2 linked regions of the Coturnix japonica genome follow. The protein of the gene in region 1 interacts with the protein of each later gene in a pairwise test. Links are inferred from orthologs where the notes say so. Each region holds a gene or a part of one and is shown on either strand. Other genes may lie near its edges.

Evidence for each region. The genes of interacting proteins can lie anywhere in the genome.
Region 2: the proteins of NFE2L2 (region 1) and MAFF interact in binary tests that used the Homo sapiens proteins (3 or more experiments, as listed by UniProt). The link is inferred for Coturnix japonica from reciprocal best matches to the Homo sapiens genes NFE2L2 and MAFF.

The regions. Positions count from the first base shown.
Region 1 is NC_029522.1:14,074,707-14,078,351, forward strand, and holds the end of NFE2L2 (nuclear factor erythroid 2-related factor 2), read left to right. Parts: intron 1-1,281; coding exon 1,282-2,490; 3' UTR 2,491-3,628; downstream 3,629-3,645.
Region 2 is NC_029516.1:46,518,705-46,522,958, forward strand, and holds the start of MAFF (transcription factor MafF), read right to left. Parts: upstream 2,929-4,254; 5' UTR 2,753-2,928; intron 2,695-2,752; exon of another isoform or gene 2,465-2,694; intron 2,132-2,464; 5' UTR 2,114-2,131; coding exon 2,078-2,113; intron 1,698-2,077; coding exon 1,284-1,697; 3' UTR 1-1,283. Other genes in the region: PLA2G6 (85/88 kDa calcium-independent phospholipase A2), read left to right, coding at 3,279-3,463, 3,707-3,922, 4,072-4,252. UniProt on the Homo sapiens protein: Since they lack a putative transactivation domain, the small Mafs behave as transcriptional repressors when they dimerize among themselves.

The DNA of each region.
Region 1 (3,645 bases):
AACAATAGACAGCACAAAATCACTGAGTTGTACATTATAGAGGGCATCTAGTTGGTTTTTTTTTAATCTTCTCTTTCCTTTATCTAGTTTTGACTGTTTAAAAAGGGGGGAAACCCCAACAATAGTAGGAACCTTATATGGCCTGTAACTCTAATTTTTCCCCTATTATTTTTCTATATTTCAAAATTTTCTTCATTTTTCTTCATTTTTTTTCATTTTCTTAAACTTTACTACTTTGGCATGCCTAAAAGTCCCTACATAGGTAACAAGGAGGACTACCTTTGAAGAGGCAGCTGAAAAGATACTAAGAAACCAAGCCTAAATTGTCTGTTAATTCTGTATAGTGATTGAATAATCTTCTGATTGAGATAATTAAATTGAGGCTATTGTGATCTACAAAGTATGTTTGAAAGGGAATAAAAGAGCTCTCACATTCAAAGCCTTAGCTTAAGCTTTGTATGCTCTCTGGTTATATAGTCAGTGTGTGGACCCCCCTTAAGAGAAACAGAAACACTGCAGTAGTTGCTTAATTCTTTGGGGACAGCAGGAACACTTCAGCTTCAGTTAAGAAACTGCCACTTTTGGAAAGAATGTTGGTTTTGTAGCCAACGAAATCCGATCTATGTAATCATCTTAGACACTCACACTAATGTTAGCCAGCTTTCCTAGAAGCATGTGGGATGAGTTAACATTAATAAGGGTTCACACTTTTTTAATTTTTTACTTTCCAGAGAATTATATTTCTTTGCAATTCAGTGAATCCTAAAATTATCTTTGTCTTTCAAAGAAAAGAAATCATCACATAAAATTGAAGATGGCTAAAAATAGTTTGCTATGAGTTCTGAGTAAGCCTCATTCAGTAATCTTAAATTTACTGAAGTGGAGCATTACTAGCAGGGATGCTTGTGAGAAGTTCAGACCTGACAGCTCCAGAATCCCCGCTAGAATTTGGTAGAACAGGAGGGCAGTTTCCATATATCAGTGTGTTGGGATGGATCTCTTCTTTATCACCTTGCTATGAATTTGAGAGGCTTTGCTGTCGTATTCCAAATAGCTTTGTCCAGGATAAGTTGCTTCATACTCTGCTTAGATATCTGTTCTTTTTCCTAGATTGTCTCCCCATAGTGCAATTATGTTGTATTCATCTAGGTTACAGCAGTATTACAATACCCCATGTACTTGTTAATGACTAAAATTATTAATAGTTATGAATTCTATAAAAATATTTCATGATCAATTGGTCTTGTGTTGCTCAACCCCTCTCTTACGCTTCCCATGTAGTGTTTAAACATTGAAAATGACAACCTGGCTGAAGTGAGCACAATCACAAGCCCTGAAACCAAGCCAGCAGAGATGCACAACAGCTATAATTACTACAACTCATTACCCATCATGAGAAAAGATGTTAACTGTGGTCCAGATTTCCTGGAGAACATTGAGGGTCCTTTTTCCAGCATTTTGCAGCCAGAAGACAGCAGCCAGCTGAACGTCAACTCTTTAAATAACACATCAACTGTGAGCTCTGATTTCTGTGAGGATTTCTATACCAGTTTTATATGCGCAAAGGGGGACAGTGACACAGTAACGACAAACACTATCAGTCAATCACTTGCAGATATTTTAAGTGAACCTATTGATCTTTCTGATTTCCCGCTGTGGAGAGCTTTTAATGATGACTACTCAGGAACTGTACTAGAGTGTAATGATTCCGACTCTGGTATTTCACTGAATGCAAATTCTAGTATAGCATCACCTGAGAACTCTGTTGAATCATCTACCTGTGGAGATAAGACTTTGGGTTGTAGTGATTCTGAAATGGAAGACATGGACAGTTCTCCTGGAAGCGTGCCACAGAGCAATGCTAGTGTGTACTCATTGCGGTTCCCTGATCAGGTACTTCCTTCTGTGGAGCCAGGCACTCAAAAATCCAGCTTACAACGTATGAACACACCAAAGAAAGACCCTCCTGCCGGCCCAGGTCACCCTAAAGCTCCATTCACAAAAGATAAGCCTTCGGGCCGTCTTGAAGCTCATCTCACAAGAGATGAGCAAAGAGCAAAGGCTCTGCAGATCCCTTTTCCAGTGGAAAAAATCATCAATCTCCCTGTTGATGACTTTAACGAAATGATGTCTAAGGAGCAGTTCAGCGAAGCCCAGCTTGCACTTATTCGAGATATACGCAGGAGAGGCAAGAATAAAGTGGCTGCTCAAAACTGCAGAAAGAGAAAACTGGAAAATATAGTGGAACTGGAGCAAGATTTGAGTCACCTAAAAGATGAGAGGGAGAAATTGCTGAAAGAAAAAGGAGAGAATGACAAAAGCCTTCGTCAAATGAAAAAGCAATTAACCACCTTATATGTTGAGGTGTTCAGCATGCTGCGCGATGAAGATGGAAAGTCTTACTCTCCTAGTGAATACTCACTGCAGCAAACTAGAGATGGCAATATCTTCCTTGTTCCCAAAAGCAGGAAGGCAGAGACTAAACTTTGAACTGCTTGAAGAGCAGCACGGCTGGCTGGTGTTCTCCGAGTTACTATTTTTGTATCGTTAACCTAATAGCTTTTACTGTGAGGTGGAATGCAGAATTAGGTAATATTTTTCAAGTAATTCTATGCAATGATGATTTGAAAATTAATAGTAAAGTTTATGAAAGGTGCGAGTTCAAAACTAATAGTGTAATGCAGATGTATGTATGCAAATTTGTAATCTCACTTTTATAACAGGTATTTCCTTCTTTTAGCACCACTTCAACTAGTTTCCATACATGTGTAAATATTTAAAGATACCGTATTTATATACTGTTCTTATCTCCTGTTATATTCATAGATTTGATATATAAGAATAATTCTAGCCTCCTAAATGTAATTTCTTGCAATACGAACAGAATGGCTTCTTACTCTTTTGTAAAAGAAAAGAAATGCAATAGCGTTTGTTTCCGATTTTTCTTATGCATTTATAAATGCTTTATATTTAATATATGATTCTAATTTAGTGTCAAGTTGATACTCATTGTTTGATTTTTGATTCATCTTACCAGTTCATTAAACTTTTTATTATTATTATTATTATTATTTTTTACACCATAGGCATTTATTTCCCTGAAGTAGGTTATATGCTGATTCAGATACCCTCACTGGTTTTCCAAGGATAAGTCTTCATGCAACAAAATACACTTAACAAGCAGAGACATATCACACAGCATTATTAATGGTCACCATAATTTTAACTACCATTTGGAAGGATTGTGTGCCAAATTTGTTTCAGGCCTATACTATCTTAATATAATTTGTTTTGCTCTCAGAACACTATTGATAAGCTCATGATGAGATCTCCTCCAAAGGCATTAGAATCTGTTTAATTAAAAGCAGTGTCAGCATTACATATTTTTTCCAACTAATAAATTCTGTATACCTTTCACTAATTATTATTGGAATTCATTATGCATCTCTGACTGATCAGCAGCCATCTTTTGTCACTGCTGTTCTCTCTGAGGTGATGGAAAAAGATACCCCCATGGCCAAGCACTGCGCTCTGTGGAACCTGGGCTCCATTTGTTGAAAGAATGTTGTGACTTGTGAAGTTATAAGAGATGAAAAATTGGGCAAATAAATCACAGTGTTTCATTTATGCCTCCGCTGGACTCGT
Region 2 (4,254 bases), on another chromosome or scaffold:
CCAAAAGAACTGGCTTTATTTGTAAAGTCTACAAAATACAGAGGACTCAGGTAGGACACAGACTGTAAGTCAGAAAATAAATAGTATTTTTTTTGTTGGTTTTTTTTTTTTTTTTTTTGCTCTATATAAGATAAAATGTGATTTGCATATATAAAATATAAAGTACGGCTCTGTACCAACATCCTGGCTGTGCCGAGAGGTGGAATGGCAAAGAGGACGTGAAAATAACTTACGTTCGTGCAATAAATAAACCCAGGGGGAGCGGGGCCGAGGGGATGCTAACACAGTGCCCTTTGGGGGGCACCTCTCTGGGTAGGGACGGAGGCTGCAGCCAAGGGCGGCTGGCGTGACGATGCCCAGACCTCTGTGCTGGTGTCCAAGCTGGAGGAAAACCCAAGGGAGAAGCAGCTGCCTGCCAGGCAGCTCCCAGGAGTGGGATGCTCTGCCCTCCATACACCTCTGACTCCTCGCTCTCTGCAGCCTAAGCCCTGGAGCCAGCAGAGCACAGGGCTTGGCAGGGCCATCCCAGCAAAACAGCAGTTATCTGCACTCCAGCTGCCTTTGCTTCCTTCCTGCCTCTGCCTGTGTTCCAGGCACGTGGTTGGGCCGAGTGTCCCACTTAGGTCAAAGAGACGCATGAAGGATATCCGTGATGGGGAGAAAACAGCCCCTCCACATCTCCTTTTTGCCTCACAGCCCCCAGATGCCCCCTGCCCAAGGGTCCCCCTCCATCGCCGTCACAGCGCTATGCCATCCCGCTCACCCCAACCTGCAGCCACTTTCTGTTCCCCTCCGGACCTGCACATTCTCTTACCATCCTCCACTCCTTTTCACTGGGCCAGTGCTGACCCCATTCATCCTCATCCTTCTGCAAAACTCCCTCCCCAGTTCATTCTCTGGCACATGCTCCTGGGAGCGCCTGCCCTGCACTCAGCTCCCCCCAAAAATAGGGTGCACCGTGTTTTCCTGCCAGCTTGGAGCTGTGAGGTGTTTCCCTGCCTCCATCCATTCACACGGACTCATCCCCTCCTGCATGCACCCACTGATGCAGCAAGGGATGGGACCATGGGGCAATACCGGGCTTTGGGCTTCCCCCATGGGATCTCCAATAAGGTGCTGTCCACCCGGTACACACATGGTGGCAGTCCTCCCTACAAGCAGAGGTCTGGGGGACCAGAGGGAAGGATTTGGGGTGCAGCTCCCAGCAAAGGAGAGCCTCGAGTCGGTATGTAGGGGAAGGCGCCCTGGGGGGGACAGTGCCCAGCCGAGGGATGGGGCCAGCACTAGGAGTAGGCAGCCTGGTTGGCACCGGACTTGACGATGGTGATGACGCTGGCAGTGGCCACTTTGGCAGGGGGCCCATGGGCAGCCACAGTGCGGGCAAAGCCCTGCAGGGCCTCATACTTGCCACGGAGAGTATCAAGCTCCAGGCGCATGGCAGCATTCTCCCGGGCCAGCTTGTCCACCTCCCATTCCAGCTCCATCTTTTGCTTCTGTAGCTCTTCCTTCTGGCAGACACGCTTCACCCGGCAGCTGGCAGCGTAGCCCCGGTTCTTCAGCGTCCGTCGTCGCTGCTTCAGCCTCGCCACCTCCTCCTTGGAAAGGCCCCGCAGGTGATGGTTGAGCTCCCGCACCGACAGCCCCATCAACTCCTCATCCGACAGCAGCGGTGTGTTCTCTCCAAGCTCCCGCTTCACCTGTTGGGTGGAGGAGCAGGTGAGATCCCAATGCCAACCCCCAGTGCCAGACCTCCAAATACCAATCCCTAATGCCAATCCCCAGTTCTGGACCTCCCCAGCACCGATCCCCAGTGATGGACCCGCCCCCAATCCCCCATGCTACGGCTCCAGTGCAAGTTCCCCATTCTGGGGCTCCCTGAGGCTGGACCTCCCCAGTGTGATTCCCGCATGCTGCACCTCAAAGCCAGTCCCCTATACTGGAGTCCCTACTGCCAGCTTCCCATGCTGGACCTCCTCAATGCTTATCCCTCATGCTGGACTCCCGGTGCCATCCCCCTCCTGATGCCAGACCCTACTGCTCGGTCCCCCCCATAGCTCTTATTCTCCCCAGTACTCACCTTTAGCGCCTTGCTGGACAGCCCATCCGCAGCCATGGTTGTCCCGTACCGGCCCTACAAAACGCCCAAGAGCGGCTGAGTGCCAGCAAAGGAACACGGCGGGTGATGCCGATCCCCGCCCAGCTCCACCTCACTCTTTTATGCGAAGCCCATAATAATAGCACACAAACCACAACAACGTGGGAAGGCCCTCCCCGGAGACGCAGTGCCATGGGGCCGAGGGGAGCTCCCTCGGAGGAGGGCGGGGGGGGGGATATAGGGGCAGGGCCGGGGCTCGCGGTGGGGTCGAAGGGTGCGGGCCGCGGCCACGTCGCGGGCGAGCGGGCGCCGTCTCACCGTGATTCAGCAGCGCTGGGAGGGGAGGAGGAGGGGGCGAGAGCCACTTACCCCTTCTGCACCCCTCGACCGCCACTCTGCCGCTTTCTTGGGGCAGAGGTGAGGGCGGGAGAGGCCGATATTTTCTCCCCTCCGCCATTACGAGAGGAGAAGAGAGGGCGCAGGGCCCGAAGCGGCCCCAACTCCGGACCACCTTCCCCCGCCCTCTCCAAAGAGCCGGCGGGGGGCGAAGCACGGGAGGAGCCGAGCTGATGCAATCAGGGCCGGGGGTCAGACGCCATCCCCGAGCTCCCACCGACCGCCCCGCTCCGGAAACTCCCGACCCCGCCGTCCGCTTACCGGAGGCCGCGCCGTGTGTGCCGGCTGTGCCGTGTGTGCCGGCTGTGCCGAGTGCCGGCCGTGCCCCGTGCGGTGCTGTGGGGTGCGGCGATGCGATGCGCTCCCAGCCGAGCTCCGCGCGATTACTCACCCGCGGATTCCTTTCATTCATAAAAACACAGTCATGCGGTGACGTCACCCCCCATCGCCCCGCCCCTCCGCAGCCCGGCCCCGCCCCGCCCTCTCTCCGACCTTTTCAAAGATGGCGGCGCGCGGCTCAAACGTCAACAACCCGCCCACCCTTCATTGGGAGGGAGACCTATTAGCCCCTCCCCTTTGGCTCCTCCCCATTGGCTCCTCCCCGGGAGCGGCGCAGCTGATTGGTCCGGCCTGGGGGCAGTGAGGGTGGCGGGCCTTGGCGGGCCTCGGCTCCCCTGAGTCCCCGCGGGCGCTTCCCGTCAGGGTTGGCCGGTACAAAAGCGCAGCGCCGCCGTAGGCCCGCAGCGCTCCGTGCTTGTGTGAAGGCCGGGCCGTGCAGCCGCACGCCATGCAGTTCCTCGGGCGGCTCCTGAGCCAGGCGTTCGGCAGCCCGTACCGCGTGAAGGAGCTGCCCGCCGCCCAGTACTCGGGGCTGGGCCCCCTGCGGGAGGACGGCCGGCTGCGGCTCTACGGGAACGGCCGCGGCTGGGACGCCGTGCTGCTCAACCCGCAGAGCCCGGCCGTGGCCGTACGGTACGTGCTGGGCGCTGCGCTGACTGCGCGGCACTGAGCGAGGGCCCATGGAGCGGGGCTGCAGGGAACGGGCTGCACAGGGAGGTGGTGCAGGCACTGTCCATGGAGGTGTCCCAGAGCCGTGGGGATGTGGCACTGAGGGACGTGGGCAGTGGGCACGGTGGGGATGGGCTGATGTTGCACTGCATCATCATACAGGTCTTTTCTAGCCTTAATGATTCTGTGTTTACCTCTCCCCTCCAGGCTCTTCCACCTGGACGATGAAGCAGAAGCCCTGGTGCGCTTTGAGCACTATGCCGGCCACCTGCGGCCGTTCTATGAGAGCTCAGCCCAGCCCCTGTCGCTGGAGGTTCTGCAGCAGCTCAGTGACTGCATCCGCAACCATCCCAGCTGGTCCTCTGCACACATAGCAGTGGAGGTTGGCCTGCACGAGACCTTCCGACACAACCGTGTACTCAGGTGAGGGTGCAGAGCAATCTCCTGTGGGCCTGGCGTTGTTGGGGCTGTGTGTCAGGAGGAGGGTCCATTGTAGGGCTGTAGGTCTTTGCAGAGGTAGATCCTCATCTTTGCAGCCTCTCTACGCTGTAACGTTGTGTCTTCTGTTACAGCTGTGTGAATAGCACAGACAGTGAGGATGGTTGCACCCCGCTGCACCTGGCGTGCCATAAGGGAGACATGACCTGCCTGCAGGAGCTGCTGGAATGCCACGCACGAGTGGATATTACAGACAAGAAAGGAGAGACGGTTTTCCACTATGCTGTGCGAGGAAGCAACCCCTATATCATTGAGGT